2 linked regions of the Diceros bicornis minor genome follow. The protein of the gene in region 1 purifies or fractionates together with the protein of each later gene. This does not show direct contact. Links are inferred from orthologs where the notes say so. Each region holds a gene or a part of one and is shown in the gene's direction. Other genes may lie near its edges.

Evidence for each region. The genes of interacting proteins can lie anywhere in the genome.
Region 2: the proteins of FOSL2 (region 1) and COP1 purify together in Homo sapiens (affinity purification with mass spectrometry; 3 studies listed by BioGRID and IntAct, counting the BioPlex papers as one, with this or other methods). This does not show direct contact. The link is inferred for Diceros bicornis minor from reciprocal best matches to the Homo sapiens genes FOSL2 and COP1.

The regions. Positions count from the first base shown.
Region 1 is NC_080751.1:54,562,195-54,569,148, reverse strand, and holds the start of FOSL2 (fos-related antigen 2), read left to right. Parts: upstream 1-3,888; 5' UTR 3,889-4,282; coding exon 4,283-4,384; intron 4,385-6,380; exon of another isoform or gene 6,381-6,478; intron 6,479-6,954.
Region 2 is NC_080743.1:90,436,194-90,443,366, forward strand, and holds the start of COP1 (E3 ubiquitin-protein ligase COP1), read left to right. Parts: upstream 1-4,088; 5' UTR 4,089-4,312; coding exon 4,313-4,731; intron 4,732-7,173. UniProt on the Homo sapiens protein: E3 ubiquitin-protein ligase that mediates ubiquitination and subsequent proteasomal degradation of target proteins.

The DNA.
Region 1 (6,954 bases):
CCAGTGCAGCCCAGAGTGGGCGGTCGTTCTGGGATTTAAGTCAGGGCCCAAACATTGGACTGGAGGGACACAGGAGGAAATTGGCAAATGCAGGGCAGGGAGGTCCCAGAGACCCAGAGAGACAATGAGAAGACAGCCCAAGATACCCTTTTCTTCCCACTCCAGCTCACCTCCTCCTCTTCCCTCACTTGACTTGACCTTTCTTTAGCTGAGTAGTTCAGCAGAGAATTAAGGAGCACCTCTAAATATAGGACAAAGCCATGCACCAGATAAAGTCCATGCTTTCTGGAGACCAATAAGAGAGAAACAAAGACATTTCCAGTAGGAGGCCAGTCATGCAGTGTCCCGGGTAAGAGGAACAGCCTGGTGTCATACAGGCCCAGCTGCACTTCCAACTGGGTCACTAACCCACTAATCAGTTCTCCTGGACAAGTTCCTTAATCTCACTTTCTTCATCTGCAACCAGGGAATAATACTCACCTCAAACATTTGTTGGGAGGATTGCATGAGACAATCCCTGCAAAGGATTCAGCGTGGTGCCTGACTCTCGGTAAGCGCTCAATAAAAGTTGGCTCTATTCTTAGATGTTAGTCTGGGGAGCCAGAGGATCCTTTCTAACTGGGTGATACTGGAATGATTCCCCACGGAGGCGGCAGTGAACCGGGCTTGGAGGCTGAACTCTCGGTCTGGCAGCCACAGTTCGGCCAAGGCACCAGTTGGACCAGCCGCTCAGTCCCCGAAGCACCAGGGCGCAGCTCTGTGTGTCTGGCGCTTCGTGGACTGAAAGGTGAGGACAGACTGCGAAAAGGCAGGCATCCAGCCGGACAGAGGGAGCCAGCACAAATTCTGGAGCAGGGGAAGGCCAGGATCAAAGCGCTCCAAGGCAGGCCGGGGCGCACCAAGGGGAGGCTATCGACTTGCATCAGCACGGATTCCGTGATGCTCTGCAGACGTCTCGGGGCTGCCGGGCTTTACGGGAACCCACAAGAAAGGAAAGGGCCGGGGAGCAGGCTGGGCGGGGGCTGACGAGAGAGAGAGGGTGCGCTCGCCCTCCCGCGCGCTCCCGGCGCCGCCCGCCCGGGTCTGGGCGCGCCCGGGACGGCGGAGGCCGCGGAGGAAGCTCCGGCTCCCTTTCCCCCTCCTCCTTTCCCCCCCGCATTACTGGAAGGACTGTGTGGGAGAGACCCAGAAGCACCCAGATTTTCGAGGCGGGGTGGGGGAGGGTCAGGCAGCCGCTGCTGCTCAAAGGAAAACCAAAAGCGCGTCTGTTCGCGCCGCTTCGACAAGCGGCTGCTCCCAGGAGGGCCCTGGACGCCCCGGCCATGCCAACCTTTGCATCCCCCCCCACCACCCGCGAGACCTGGCTAAGTCGGCGGGGGCCTGGGTGGCGCAGGAGGAGACGGAGAGGCGAGTGAGAAAGTGTCACGATTTCTTCTCCTGCGCTCCCCCCCCCCACACAGTCCCCACCCCCAGTTTTCTGGGTTTTGCCGCTGCCGCTGGGGAAAGGGCTGATCGGTTTTGCGTCAAAGGACTGCATTTACTCAGTCCTGCTGGGAGAGGCGCGTAAACACGCAGGCAGTCAGGACGCAGGGATGAAAAAAAAAAGAACCCAAGCACCGCGGCGGGTGTGCGCATCCGCCCGCCCCGCACCCCTCTCCTGGGTCTGCAGAGTTGGAGACTGCCCGGAGGGCGGCGGCGGAGGTTCGAGCAGTCTGGCCAGCCTCGCCTCGCCGCGTGCGTCCTTGGGGATGGAGCTCAGGACAGAAAGTGTTTTATAGCTGTAAACAATGACCCCGAGTATTGTTTGGGATTACCGTATTTTAGGGCCATTGGGGCGGCCAGATGCCGCCAGCCGTCCCGGAAACGCCAGCGCTTTATATAGAGCCCAGGGAAAGCTTTGAGTTCCCGGCTCTATTTTTCTTGCCTAGCAACACCCCCACTTTACAGATAAGGAAACTGAGGACTGGAACTGTGATGTGTTACAGCGCATAGCTCTTCACAGTCTTCACTCATCTTGCCGTTGTGTCCTCACAAGGACCTTGTGGGGGTGCAGATGACCCTACTTTAGAGTTGGGTAAACCGAGGCTAAGGCAGAGCCTGGACCAGAACCCAAGCTTTGACTCCTGGTACAGTGTTCCTCCGGATCATCTCTGCAGAAAGATTGAAGTTCCAGAACTGATAAGGGCCTTAGAGCGTCATCTGTCCGAACCCCTTCATTTTATAGGAAGAAACTGAGGCCCAGAGAGGTTAAGGGACTCGCCCAAAGTCTCACAGCTCGAATAGCACAACCTGGCGTTCGTACTCCAAGGCCTGTGCTCTTTACCCCGCACCTCGCCCCGCCCCGCCCAGCGAGGCGGGAAGACCCAGGAGCCCGGACTACCTGCTCCCTGAACTTCGCTCCAAAACAGCTGAAAACAACATTGGGGCACACCCTCTCCCTGGCCTCACCCCCCGCCCTTTCTAAAATACATAACAGTCTGGAGTTTGCCTATGATGTCCGATTACTCTTATTAGATGCGACCTAAACGCCCGGCATAGAGGGCGGCCGGAATGTCTTGACTGGTTAATTTCGTCTTCAAGTCTACTCCTAACAAATTAATTGTAGGGCCAAAAAAACAGGGGGGGAAGTGTGGGCAGCCAGCCACCGAAGGGAAAACAGGCAGGCCCGCCTCGCCCAGCGGCGTCGCGCCCCGCCAGGACCCGGCCGCAGGGCGGCGCGGGAACTCTCCGCGCCCGGGGCGGCCGCTGCACCGGCCGGCGCCGCGCAGGGCGCCGACGACCGCGCGCGGCCGCGCCCTCCCTGCGAGCGGCTCTGCGCGCCCGGCTCCCGGCCTGGCGGTGGCGCCGCACTGAACCGCCTGTCTCGTTCTTCAAGACTGTGATTATTTTCTAAAACCCGGCGCCGAGGCCCGCGCGGCCGCTCTCGGGGGCCCCGCCCCGCGCCCCTTCCCAGGGCGGTGCAGGGGGGTTGGGGAGGCCGCGGCGCGCTCGGGAGCGGGCGAGGGAATCCCTCTCCCTCCACGTCACCCGAAAGCAAGGGAACCCGCACTCGCATCCTCTAACGCAAATGACCATCTTTGGCAACGTGCGCCAATGGAACAGACCAAGGGCGCTGGGCCCGGGGGGTGGGCGGGGGTGTGGAAGGGCCAGGGCTGCCTTGGCTCCCCCAAACCGCGCCAGCGGTCGGCTCCCACCCCCGCCACCGCCTTCCTTCCTCGCGCGGAGTGTGCGGCTGGCGTCAGCGCGGCCAGGAGCCGGGGCAGGGAGAGGAGCTCTATGCCCGCCTCCTCCCGCGCCTCTTTCTCCTCCTCCTCCTCCCCCCGCCTCCCCGCGCGCTCCTCCCTGCAAGGTGGAGTCTTGGGGTTGACGTGAGTGAATCCACATGGTGGGGGCTGGAGAATAAAGAGTGTGGAGTTGAACTCGTGCCATTGTAGTGACTCATCTCGGGCTGAGCGCAGGGGCTCCGAGCGAACCAGCGAGCAAGCGAGCGGCGCTCGGCGGGGACAGAGAGAGGGGGAGAGAGGCGCGGACGGGCGAGACTGGCCCGTCCGGGAGCGGGCGCCGGGGAAGGGGTGCAGGTCCGGGCGCCGGAGCCACGGCACGGGGAGCGGGGCCGCGTCCCTCTCAGCGCCGGCTCAGCTTGAACCCCACGGGCCGCGGGACGGGCGCAGGCTGCCCTCTTCTCTTAGACAAGTGTCCGAGCCGCTCCGAAACTCCGGCGGCGAGTCGGCCACAGGAAGTTTATTCTCAGCTCCCTTTCTAAAAGGAGGAAATAGAAGTTTCTCCAAGCGGGCAGCCTTTCTTTTCGCCTTTTTTGTCCTGACTGAAATCGAGGGCCCCCAGATCTGGCAGGGAAAATTGCCAGGGTCCTATTCTTTTTTTAATTTCCAGGGTCCTATTCTTTTTTTAATTTCCAGCTTTTGCTTGGGCCGGAGGTCCCGGCTGGGCTCCGGCTGCGCGCGGGGGCGGGAGGGCGCGCGCAGGGGAGGGACTGAGGGACGCGCCGACTTTTTAGAGGGAGGGACTGGGTGGACAACTGGTCCCGCGGTGCTCGTAGAGCAGGAAAGAAGTGCAGTGCGAGGCACTCGGGCGGCACTGTTCCCGGGGTGTCGTCGCCTCCCGGTCCGTCCGCGGTCGCCGCCGAGGGGAAAGAGCCCGGGAGCGAAGACTAGAGCCCGAGGCGCGGCCGGCAGGGAGCGAGCGCGCAGCAGCCGGTGCGCGGCCGCGGCGAGGGCGGGGGAAGAAAAACACCCTGTTTCCTCTCGGGCCCCCACCGCGGATCATGTACCAGGATTATCCCGGGAACTTTGACACCTCTTCCCGTGGCAGCAGCGGTTCTCCTGCGCACGCCGAGTCCTACTCCAGCGGCGGCGGCGGCCAGCAGGTAGGTTCGGGGCCCGAATGCACCTGGCGGCGCTGGCGGACCCCCGCCCTCCTCTCGCCGCCACTGCCTCTTTTGCTTTCTTTTCCCTTTCTTGATTTGGCGAGAAAATTCCTACGTGCCACTGTTGTAAAGTCTGGATTTTCGTCTTGTCCTGCCTACCCCTCTTACCCCCACGCCACCACTTTTTTTTTTTTTTTTTAAACTGGAGCGGGGAGTGGGCTCGAAGAGCCAACAAACCCTTTCCTTCACACTACATCTCATCCAGACAAGCTCCAGGAATTACAGGCCACCTTCCCAGGAGCCTGTTACCTTCTCTCCCAGGAATCCCGCCCCCCTTCCCCTCTCTCTCCCTGGTAGGCAAAAAAATCTTTGCATCCACTGGCTCTTCCCGACATCCAGGGACCCTATTCCTGTGGGAAAGCTCTCTCCTTCTCTTCCCCCATTCTCCGTCAGTCTTAGTTAATTTCTGAAAGAGGCTGAGGACTCGGAAACATGGTTGGGCTCCTTCAAGTAATCCGGAGTGAGGGCGAGGGTTGCCGCTCTGGGAATCAGGTGCGAAGGTCAGGAAGGAGGAGGTCAGCCTTGATTGGCTCGGGCGGCGCCTGTGTGCCCTGCGCCCGTACATCTCCTGTGAGGGTCGGACCAGGAGCCTGCACTAACACCAGAAGGGGCGCCTTCAGTGTACAGGGTACCTGAAGCAAGGACGCCTGCAGAGAGAAGTGGGAGAAAGGGACCTCCTGGGCGGTTCTGGAAGCAGAAAAACAACTTGTTTCTAAAGCAGCCGAACTGGTTTGCACTGGAGGGGTTGTGCATGCGATCTGTGTGTCTATAAATTCCAGAAAAGTGCTGGTGGGGTGGTGGTGCTGGTGGGGTGGTGGTGCTGGTGGGGTGTCTGCCCTCTGCAGCAGGTCCCCCCCAGGTCTGTGAGGGAGCTGGCTTAACACACAGGGCCACTACAATCTGAAGCCCTCCTCAGTCAGGATCTGCTGAGTGTCCAGCCAAGTTGGCTGCAGCACGAATTGCTCTGGTAAGGCCGTGGCCTTGGCCTCTAGAAACCAGCCAGCCAGGAAGGGCTGGGGTGGGCTTCCAGGGAGGTGTGGACTCTGCTGGAGCATAAAATGGAAACACAGCTCTCTTTGGGATTTGAAGAGGGATACCTTGTTCCAAAGTAATTCCCCATACCTGGTGAGTCCCCTAAATGGCTTCTCTGTGTCTTTCCTCTACTTCCTCTGGTGTCCCCGTAAGCACGCACTCTAGAGAGCCTCGTGTGTGCATTGAGGGTGCAGTCAGTGCACCCCGTAATGAGCACCAACGGGATGAGTTTCAAATCTTGTCCCTAAAAGTGTTTGGTTTTGTTTGCTTTCCAGCCCCATTGGTGGTTTGTATTGAATCCAAATACCATTAGGCAAAGGGTTGGAGTCATTTATACCCATTCCCTCACTCTCCAATTCAACAACCCCCAAATGTCCCTCCCTTCCTCCCGGAATCAGGAAGGGATCGTTTGATTTCTTGTCTGTTCCTTTCATTGCCGTTTCTGTGGCAGTCATCATTGAAATATTACAGTCTTGCGGCCTGGCTTTGCTCAGACCCGGGGGCCTGGATGGGAAGTCAGACCGGACATCAGTGCCCCGATTGAATAATCTGTGTCACTAGGGCTTTGAGCCCAGGATGTGAGCGGAGGCAATTCCCTGTTTTGGAAGAAAATCAGACAGGAAACCAGTGCTAGGAAGAAGGACGAGAACTCGAGTCCAGCAGAGTGTAATGGGGCCTCTTTACCGAAGCAGAAAGCAGCTGTTGGCTCATTCCTAGCCTGCTGTAACACATGAGGATTTTGCGATTAGTAATAACCAGTGCACGGGGCTCTCGCATATATGCCTGCCCGTTCAGCCAGGCAGCTTCCAAACCGGAGGGATTGGCAAAGTCACACCACTTTAGACAAGTTTCTCAGCCTGTCCACTCCTGGCGGAGGGGGTGGTTTTTTCCATCATCTCTCCAACTTTGAGCAAAGCTGGTCTGCGGTCCTAAGCACCGACTTGAGAGGCTTTTGTTACTTCACAAGTCTTTGCTGTGACCCCACCCGATCCTGGGCTCAAGGTAACTTTATTACATATGAGATAAAACCCGTAATCACTTTATTTCTCTCAGCTTCCTTCACGGGGCGACTTTCTGGGCAGTTAGCGATGGGCCTTCCTCCTTTGTGGCGTCTCAATGGACCAATCAGTGGAAGAGAATTCACTGGTTTTTCCTTGGGCAAGTGGATATGATTTTTTCCTGATCTCTTTGTTTATAGGGTCCAATATTCCTGATAAGTTTGTTGCTATTTACTCAACCCAGTACTTTCCTCCCCTCTCTCGCTTCATAAAGCTTGATCCTCACACATGGCCATGAGTTCCAGTGACTTGGGGTGAGGAGGAGCAGATAATTCTTTGTGAAAACCTCTGTTCTTGTGTACGGCAGGAACTTGAAGCATGAGAAATATTTCCTGTTCCAGTTATAGTTTTAATCTCAAAGGTTGGTCTTTGGTGATTCTGTTTTGTCAGTAATCGTTGCACACGCTTCCCCCTTCTGGC
Region 2 (7,173 bases), on another chromosome or scaffold:
TTTCAGGTGAGTCAGGCAGATAAAGCTTTTTTGGCAGGATCTTTTTGGGAGATGGGTTACCAAAGTGCAAGGCTAGTTGGAGATGAAAGCCAGCAGCCTTATTTCCCTAAAATATTATATTTGGACAAGGCAACTTAGAAATATGTCTGGGAAATCCAATCCTCTTGCTAATTCCATTCTATCTTAACTCCATTAGATTTTACTTCAGTAGCAGTGTTTTGTAGGACTTTGGATTTTTTCTTGTCATTTTTGTCATTCACAGGATTAATATATTTAACAACATGATGAATTCTTTTAATTATTAGGGCTTAGTTTTTATTTTACATTTACTTTCATTTTCATTAATGTTTTCTTCTCTTCTATTTGCTACTTCTCCTGAGTTGTCTGACTTCCTTTGTGCGTATTTTGCCATGCTTCCTCTTTTCTCTTCTGCTTTCCCAGAAAATCTTGCCAGTAGAAACTAATAAGTCTAGTTGTCATCTATCATCGTTCACAAGTGCCCCTTTACCCCTTTTGCCCCACCCCCACCACTCTGGTTACCACCAATCCCTTCTCTGTATCTATGTGTTTCTAAGCTCAGGGTTCCTCTCCTCTAGGGCAATCTATGCCTCTGGTCCACATGGCCCTGTGGGAATTGGGGCTCAGTGAACTGGCCCATGAAAATGCTGATACTCTACCCACTGCTATTGCTATGAATAATCAAGTCCTTTGTTTCTGGGGGAAAAAAAAAAAGAGATAAAAATTATGTACTTTCAGAGTAGTCTTTACACATTTATCTGGTATAAAAGGGAAATTCCATCATTATCACATACCCTTAGCTTCCTTTTGTGAGTTTAGATTTCACTGAAGACAGGTTCCAAAGAGGTAATACCAGGCACTGATTTTTGATTAGGAGACTTAGCTGGGGTCCTATCACTTTCTGTCTCCTGAATAAGCTACCTGGAAGGAAGAGACTATTTTACACATTTCTCTTACACGCCCTACAATATCAATCACAGGGTTTCTCAAGGGTTCGTCACCTGCATCAGATTTGCCTGGGTGCTGGTAAGAATGCATATTCATAGGCCCTACCCCAGGCCTATAGAGTCAGAATCTCTGAAGGAAGAGCTCAGGAGCCTGCAGTTTTATTTCTCTCATGTGTTGAACCTTCTCCTGTGCCATAGCCTGAATTTTCAATCACCGCCGGGATATACTTACTTGAATGTATTTTCACCCCACACTCGCTCGACACATCCAAAACTAAACATCTGCTGGCCATCTCCAATTCTGTCATCACGCTATTATTCCTGGAGGTATCTTTGCAGTCATTCTTCTTTGTGTTCATCATTTTTACTTAACTTATTAGCCTTTCTGCTAAGCATGTGGAAAGACAGTGATGAACAAGACAGATATGGGTCATGCCCTCAAGGATTGTAAAGATTCTTTTACCAAGAGTAGTTTAATCCTCCTATTTCAAATACCAGCACGGTCACCCATGGTGGACAGGTTTCAGTGGAGTTTCCAGACTAGACAGAATAGTAAGGAGGACGTGGCCATCCACTTCCGAAAAAATTGGCTATGAAAACTCTGTGAATAGCAGTGGAGCGTTGTCTGATATAGCACTGGAAAGTGAGAGGATGGCGCAAAAAGACCAGGCAGGGTTCTGCTCTGCTAGGCACAGGGTCACTAGGAGTTGGAATCCACTTGACAGTAACACCAACAAAACTTAATCCTATAGATTCTTTTGCATTTTTCTCAGAATACTCCCTTACTTTCCTTGTCAGCACCCTAATCTAGAATCTCATCACTTATGCTTGGACTGCTATAATTTTTTCCTAATTAGTCTCTTTGCTTCTAATCTCCCACCTCTTCTGAAAGATTAATCTGCTGAAAACTTAATCTTCAAAACAACACTTTGAATATATTTTACCTCCTTATAATGCCTTCATTGTTTCCAATTGCTTATAGGCTATTTTCTAAAGTGGATTCAAGGCGCTTTACAATCTGGCCCCCAAATGAGTTTTTACTGAATAAACTCTTTTACCTTATCAATTATAGAAATCTGAACCTCATGTAAGCATTTTTTCTTACTTATTTTCTGGGCTCATGACTTTAATTACACTTTCTGTTTGACCAAGCTATACTTTTCAGTTAAGGCCTTCCTTTTTCCCCCACCAACATGGCTGGCCCTTAGCACTTGTTCTTGCTTCAGTTCCTATGGTGAGTCTCTGCTCTCATTGAGCATTTAGCATGTGCTCTAACATTACTTATCTTTTTATGTACTTTTCTAATTCTTCAATTATTTCATAAGCTTCTTGAAGTAAGAGCAACGTTTTTTATACTTCTTCATCTCTTCCTTGCCTAGTCCAGGCCTACGTGTAGCAAATGTTCAATAAATATTCATTTATTTACGCATTTTTTCATCAAAAAATTATTGAATGCCCACTGAGAACTAATATTGTTCTTTCTTTCACGGAGCTTACAGTTTAGTTGGAAAGACAGACATTAAGCAAATAATTAAAATAAAAATGAGATCAACTGCTTTATTCAGTTATTAGTCAAGAAATATTCAATAAGGACCTATCATAGGTCAGGTATTGTGTTACATGCTGGGAATACAAAGCTGAAGCTGACAGGCTAGTGGAGGAGAATCATATATACATCACTAAAACACAATGTTTTAAGTGCAAACAAAATATCCTAGGAGCACAAATGAGAGTGCAACTATCTCTGCCAAGGACTCAGTAGGGCTTCACATTTCAGTATGGCCTTGAAAGTGAATTTAAACAAGGAGTTGGATAATGTAATATTTATACAAAGAGGGTGGTTCTTGGAAATCTGATAAGCCCATTTCTATATCATTATTTTGAGCAGAAACCTGAGCTGGAAATATGAGGGTGAGCAGTTACGGCAGAGTTGAGGATGATGGCAGCCATGACAGTTCACTGCTCAGGTGAATGGCTAGGTCTTGTTGCTGGGTCTTCATCTAGGTCCTTCCCCAGCCCTGGCCCCTCAGCATGGATGGACCTTCCTAGGGAAAGGCCCTAATTGCCCCTGTAGTCTTCAATACCCGGGACAGAATTAAATCTGGCATCTCTCCCTCTAAGAATCATGGAAATGATAGAGTTGGAAAGGATACTGAAAATCACCCAATTCAGTTGTTTCTAATTTACATCCCCCAGAATCTCAAAATGGTAAATGAAAATCTGTAATCAACTTTCAATATTCCGAAAAGCCTACCAGAAATTGCACATTTTCTGGTGGTATTTACTGCCAAGTTTCCTTGTTTTGTGGTAGTATTATATCAGATCCAAATTAAACCGAGGTTCTGACGGAGCTGTGTTCTGATTAAGCATAACTTGTTTTCCCATTATTGTTATACTTAATTTGGTACAATGTCTGCAATTAACAAAGAACAACACTGACTTCATCTTAATTTACTCCTCACAATAACATGGAATGTCTTAAAAACACCAGAGCCTGAGTCCTTGACTCTCAGCCCAGCGCTCTTTTCAACTTCTGGGAGTTCCTGGGTTCTTTCCGAGTGTCCCAGTTTACAGAGCCTTCAATTCCGGATTCGGAAGCACCTGTCCTGCCGTCTCCACTGGGACACGCTGCCCATCTGTGTCGACACCGACCGCTCCCTCCTCACGTTCCGGAATGCGGCTCGCCCTCACGCATGCGTAGTACGACGACTCCGCGCCGGCGCCGCTCCTCTCCGCCTGGAGGGGGACACTGGGTAACCCGCGAGGGTAGGCGCCCAGGGCGCGCGTGCGCAGTCGCTTTTTGAGCGCTCCCCGTCTCCGCTCCCTCCCCCAAACCACTCCGCCACCTCTGCCATTCATTCCATCCTCCGCAGCCCTTTCACCCATTACGACGGCCTGCCCTCCGGTACGTCACGAACGAAAACAGGTCTCGACGAGGGCGGCTGTCGTTGCCAGGCCGCCGCGGCCGCTGAGGGCGCGCCGTTCGCGTCCGAGCGCCGCCCGGGCCGCGTCTAAAGTTGTATCCCCCGCCGCTCCCGCCCCTTCCGCCGCTCGCGCGCGCGCGCGCGCGGCCGGCCCACGGCGCGCCCGGGTTGGCTGCGGCAGCGGCCGCGGGGCCTCGAGAGCGGTAGTGGTTTCTACTCCGCTTTATTAGTTTCCTCCGCCCCCTCCCGTCGGACGCTGTTGTGTGGTTGCCTTAAAAAAATCAACTTTATTGTTCCTCAGCCCCACCTCCCGGCGCGGCGCGCGTCCTCAGGATGCACTGAGGCTGTGGGAGGGGAGGCGGCGGCGGGTCGCGGTCGCGGTCCCTCTCCTCCGAGCGCCCGGCCGGAGGGGAGGGAGTCACGATGTCCGGGAGCCGCCAGGCCGGGTCGGGCTCCGCCGGGACCAGCCCTGGCTCTTCGGCGGCCTCCTCAGTGACTTCCGCCTCCTCGTCCTTATCCTCTTCGCCGTCGCCCCCGTCCGTGGCGGCTTCGGCGGCGGCGCTGGGGTCCGGCGGGGCTGCCCAGGCCGCGGGCTCCGGCGGCCTCGGGGGCCCGGCGCGGCCTGTGTTGGTGGCGGCCGCCGTGTCGGGCAGCGGCGGCGGGAGCGGCGGCGGGGCGGTGTCCGCCGGCCTGTCCCGGCTCAGCTGCGCGGCCAGGCCCAGCGCCGGAGTCGGAGGGAGCAGCTCCAGCCTGGGCAGCGGCAGCAGGAAGCGACCTCTGCTCGCCCCCCTCTGCAACGGGCTCATCAACTCCTACGAGGACAAAAGCAACGACTTCGTCTGGTGGGTTGGAGGCCCCGCCCTCTCTCTTGCTAAATTCTGAGTTTCTGCTGGTTGGGCTGGTGGGGTCCGGCGTGAGGGGGGTCTGTTGGGTGCCTTGGCGGCGTCTGCAGAGGGATTCGAGCGTTTGCAGAGACATTCAGACGGGTGGTTGGTGGAGTGGGATGGGGGCATGTTAGAGTCCCGAGGCAGGGTCGGAGTACCAAAGAGGTAAGTGCTAGTGAGGAGGGAGTGAAGGGACTTTAGGAAATAATAAATAAGGGAGGCGAGATGGAAGGTCAAATAAATGTGCGTACAAGAAGAAAGTTGGGCAAGGAGATTGGGCCTTGAATTTCCTGGCTGTCTGGAAATTAGGCACCTGTCAGTCCGGATTGTTGAAGTGAATTAAACTTGTAAAGGGAGAGGATTAAGCTTCCTGGGATGCTGAGGGATGGAGTTGTTGGTCAGAATTTGCTTATTTAACGTATGGTAGCTGGGGCTCTAAACGGGTATGAATGTTCTAAGGAGTAGTAGTATTTAATGTAAGTATCCATCGTGTTTGTATATAAATATCTCCTCCCACTTCAAAGGGTGGGCCACTTTTAAATCTGCTGTTGAGGCTACTGTAGTCAAGAAAATCTGTTCACAAAATTTCCACTTCTCAAGTGAATGTCTTGAAAGAGGGAACCACGTTTGTTAAATATCATCCATGTGTCAGATGTAACTACTACGTTTGTGTAACGCATTGGAGTATACTGGAACCTCTGATTTGAGAAAATAGGTGTTAGACATTTTGTCATCATAGTTGGCATCTTGGATGATGCACACTAGTATTCAGTTATGATGTTTGGCATAGAGGGGTTATCCATATTAAGTGAAAGATGCAGTTGATTGTCTTGCTGAGAGTGTTTTGGGATTTTCATTGTGTTTTGTATCCAAAATCCAATCCAAGTGGTAGGCTTATGAGAAATGAATTGCTTTTAGCTGAGTGAGAACTGGTAGGGTTTTGTGCTTTTCCTCTGGAGGAAATTGTTGATAGTCTTAGAATATTAGTGATGTAGGAAGTTGGCTTGCACTGTCATTATAGGGGAAGTTGATTCACTTCAGGGTTGAAGATGATCTGAGTTGGTGTCCTTAAATATGATAGGGCTGGAAGTTGGAGCTATAGGAAAGTTATTGATTAGACAAGAGTTTATAGTTCTTGCAGTAAAAATGTCTTTATTCATATTTTTGTTTTTGTCTTAAATTATTTTGGATTCAAAATTAATTCATTTTTTTACTGAAACTGGGTTGTAATTGTAATTAGATTGTTGTTTATAAATAATTTGAGCAGCTTATGGTTGGGTCTGAGAGGGTTTGTGCCCATATTCAGGAGAGAGTACCTTATGACAAAGTAGAAGCTAATGGAACAAAGTGAGGGTTTGCAGAATTTGTCTTTTTAGCCACCATTGCATTTCAATTTTCAGTAGGCTAAAAGAAAATAAACATGCTGATATCCATATATGTACACTAAAATAATGTAAAGGATGTGAGACATAAGGGAATCAGTCATTCATTCAACAGATATTTATTTGGTGCTCAGTTTGCCGGGCACCATATGAGTTTCATTGTGCTTACTATAGGCCATTTTATAGGGAATTGGAGAGGGATGTGGAAGTGTAAGCAGCTGGCACTGATTTTTTTTTTCCTTTGGGGATGAGATTATTAAAATTTTTATTAGTTTGTCACCTAATTTTTAAAAATTTCAATCTTGTTTATGAGTCCTAATCATGTTGTTTAGATTATTCTGTTTTCTTTTGTATTCTAATGTGGAAGTGTCCAGTGAGAGTCTTTTGTTAAAAATTCTGAATATTTCACTTTTCTAAGAATCTCCTTAGTCCATTGTTTCTTTCTCTGGCGAGGTTGAATATTCAGAAGAATTCATTAATAGAAATCAATTTTCCTGATTCTCAAGCTAGATTTGATTTGGCCAAGCTTTGGAGGTAGGAAGATATGGATTAGGCAAGGCCCAAGGAATCCTTTTCATTTCTAGTTGGCTCTAGGTTGTTGATCTGGTCTTGTATGCTTCAAGGTCAAAAGATGAACCCATCCAGATTACTCTGCTTTTACATGTAAATGAGGCTAAAGTTTGAATAATGCTGATAATGTCTTATTCATCACATTTTAAAGGTATGTTTATACTTCACATTTCATTTTATCCTTAGAGCAATTCTGTGAAGTATATAGAACTTCCAAATTTTTTGTGTGTGTGTGTGAGGATGATCAGCCCTGAGCTAACATCTGCCAATCCTCCTCTTTTTGCTGAGGAAGACTGGCCCTGAGCTAACATCCACGCCCATCTTCCTTCACTTTATATGGGACACTGCCACAGCATGGCCTGACAAGGGGAGCACTGGTGCATGCCCGGGACCCGAACCCAGGCCACCAGCTGCGGAGCGCGCGCACTTAACTGCTACACCATGGGGC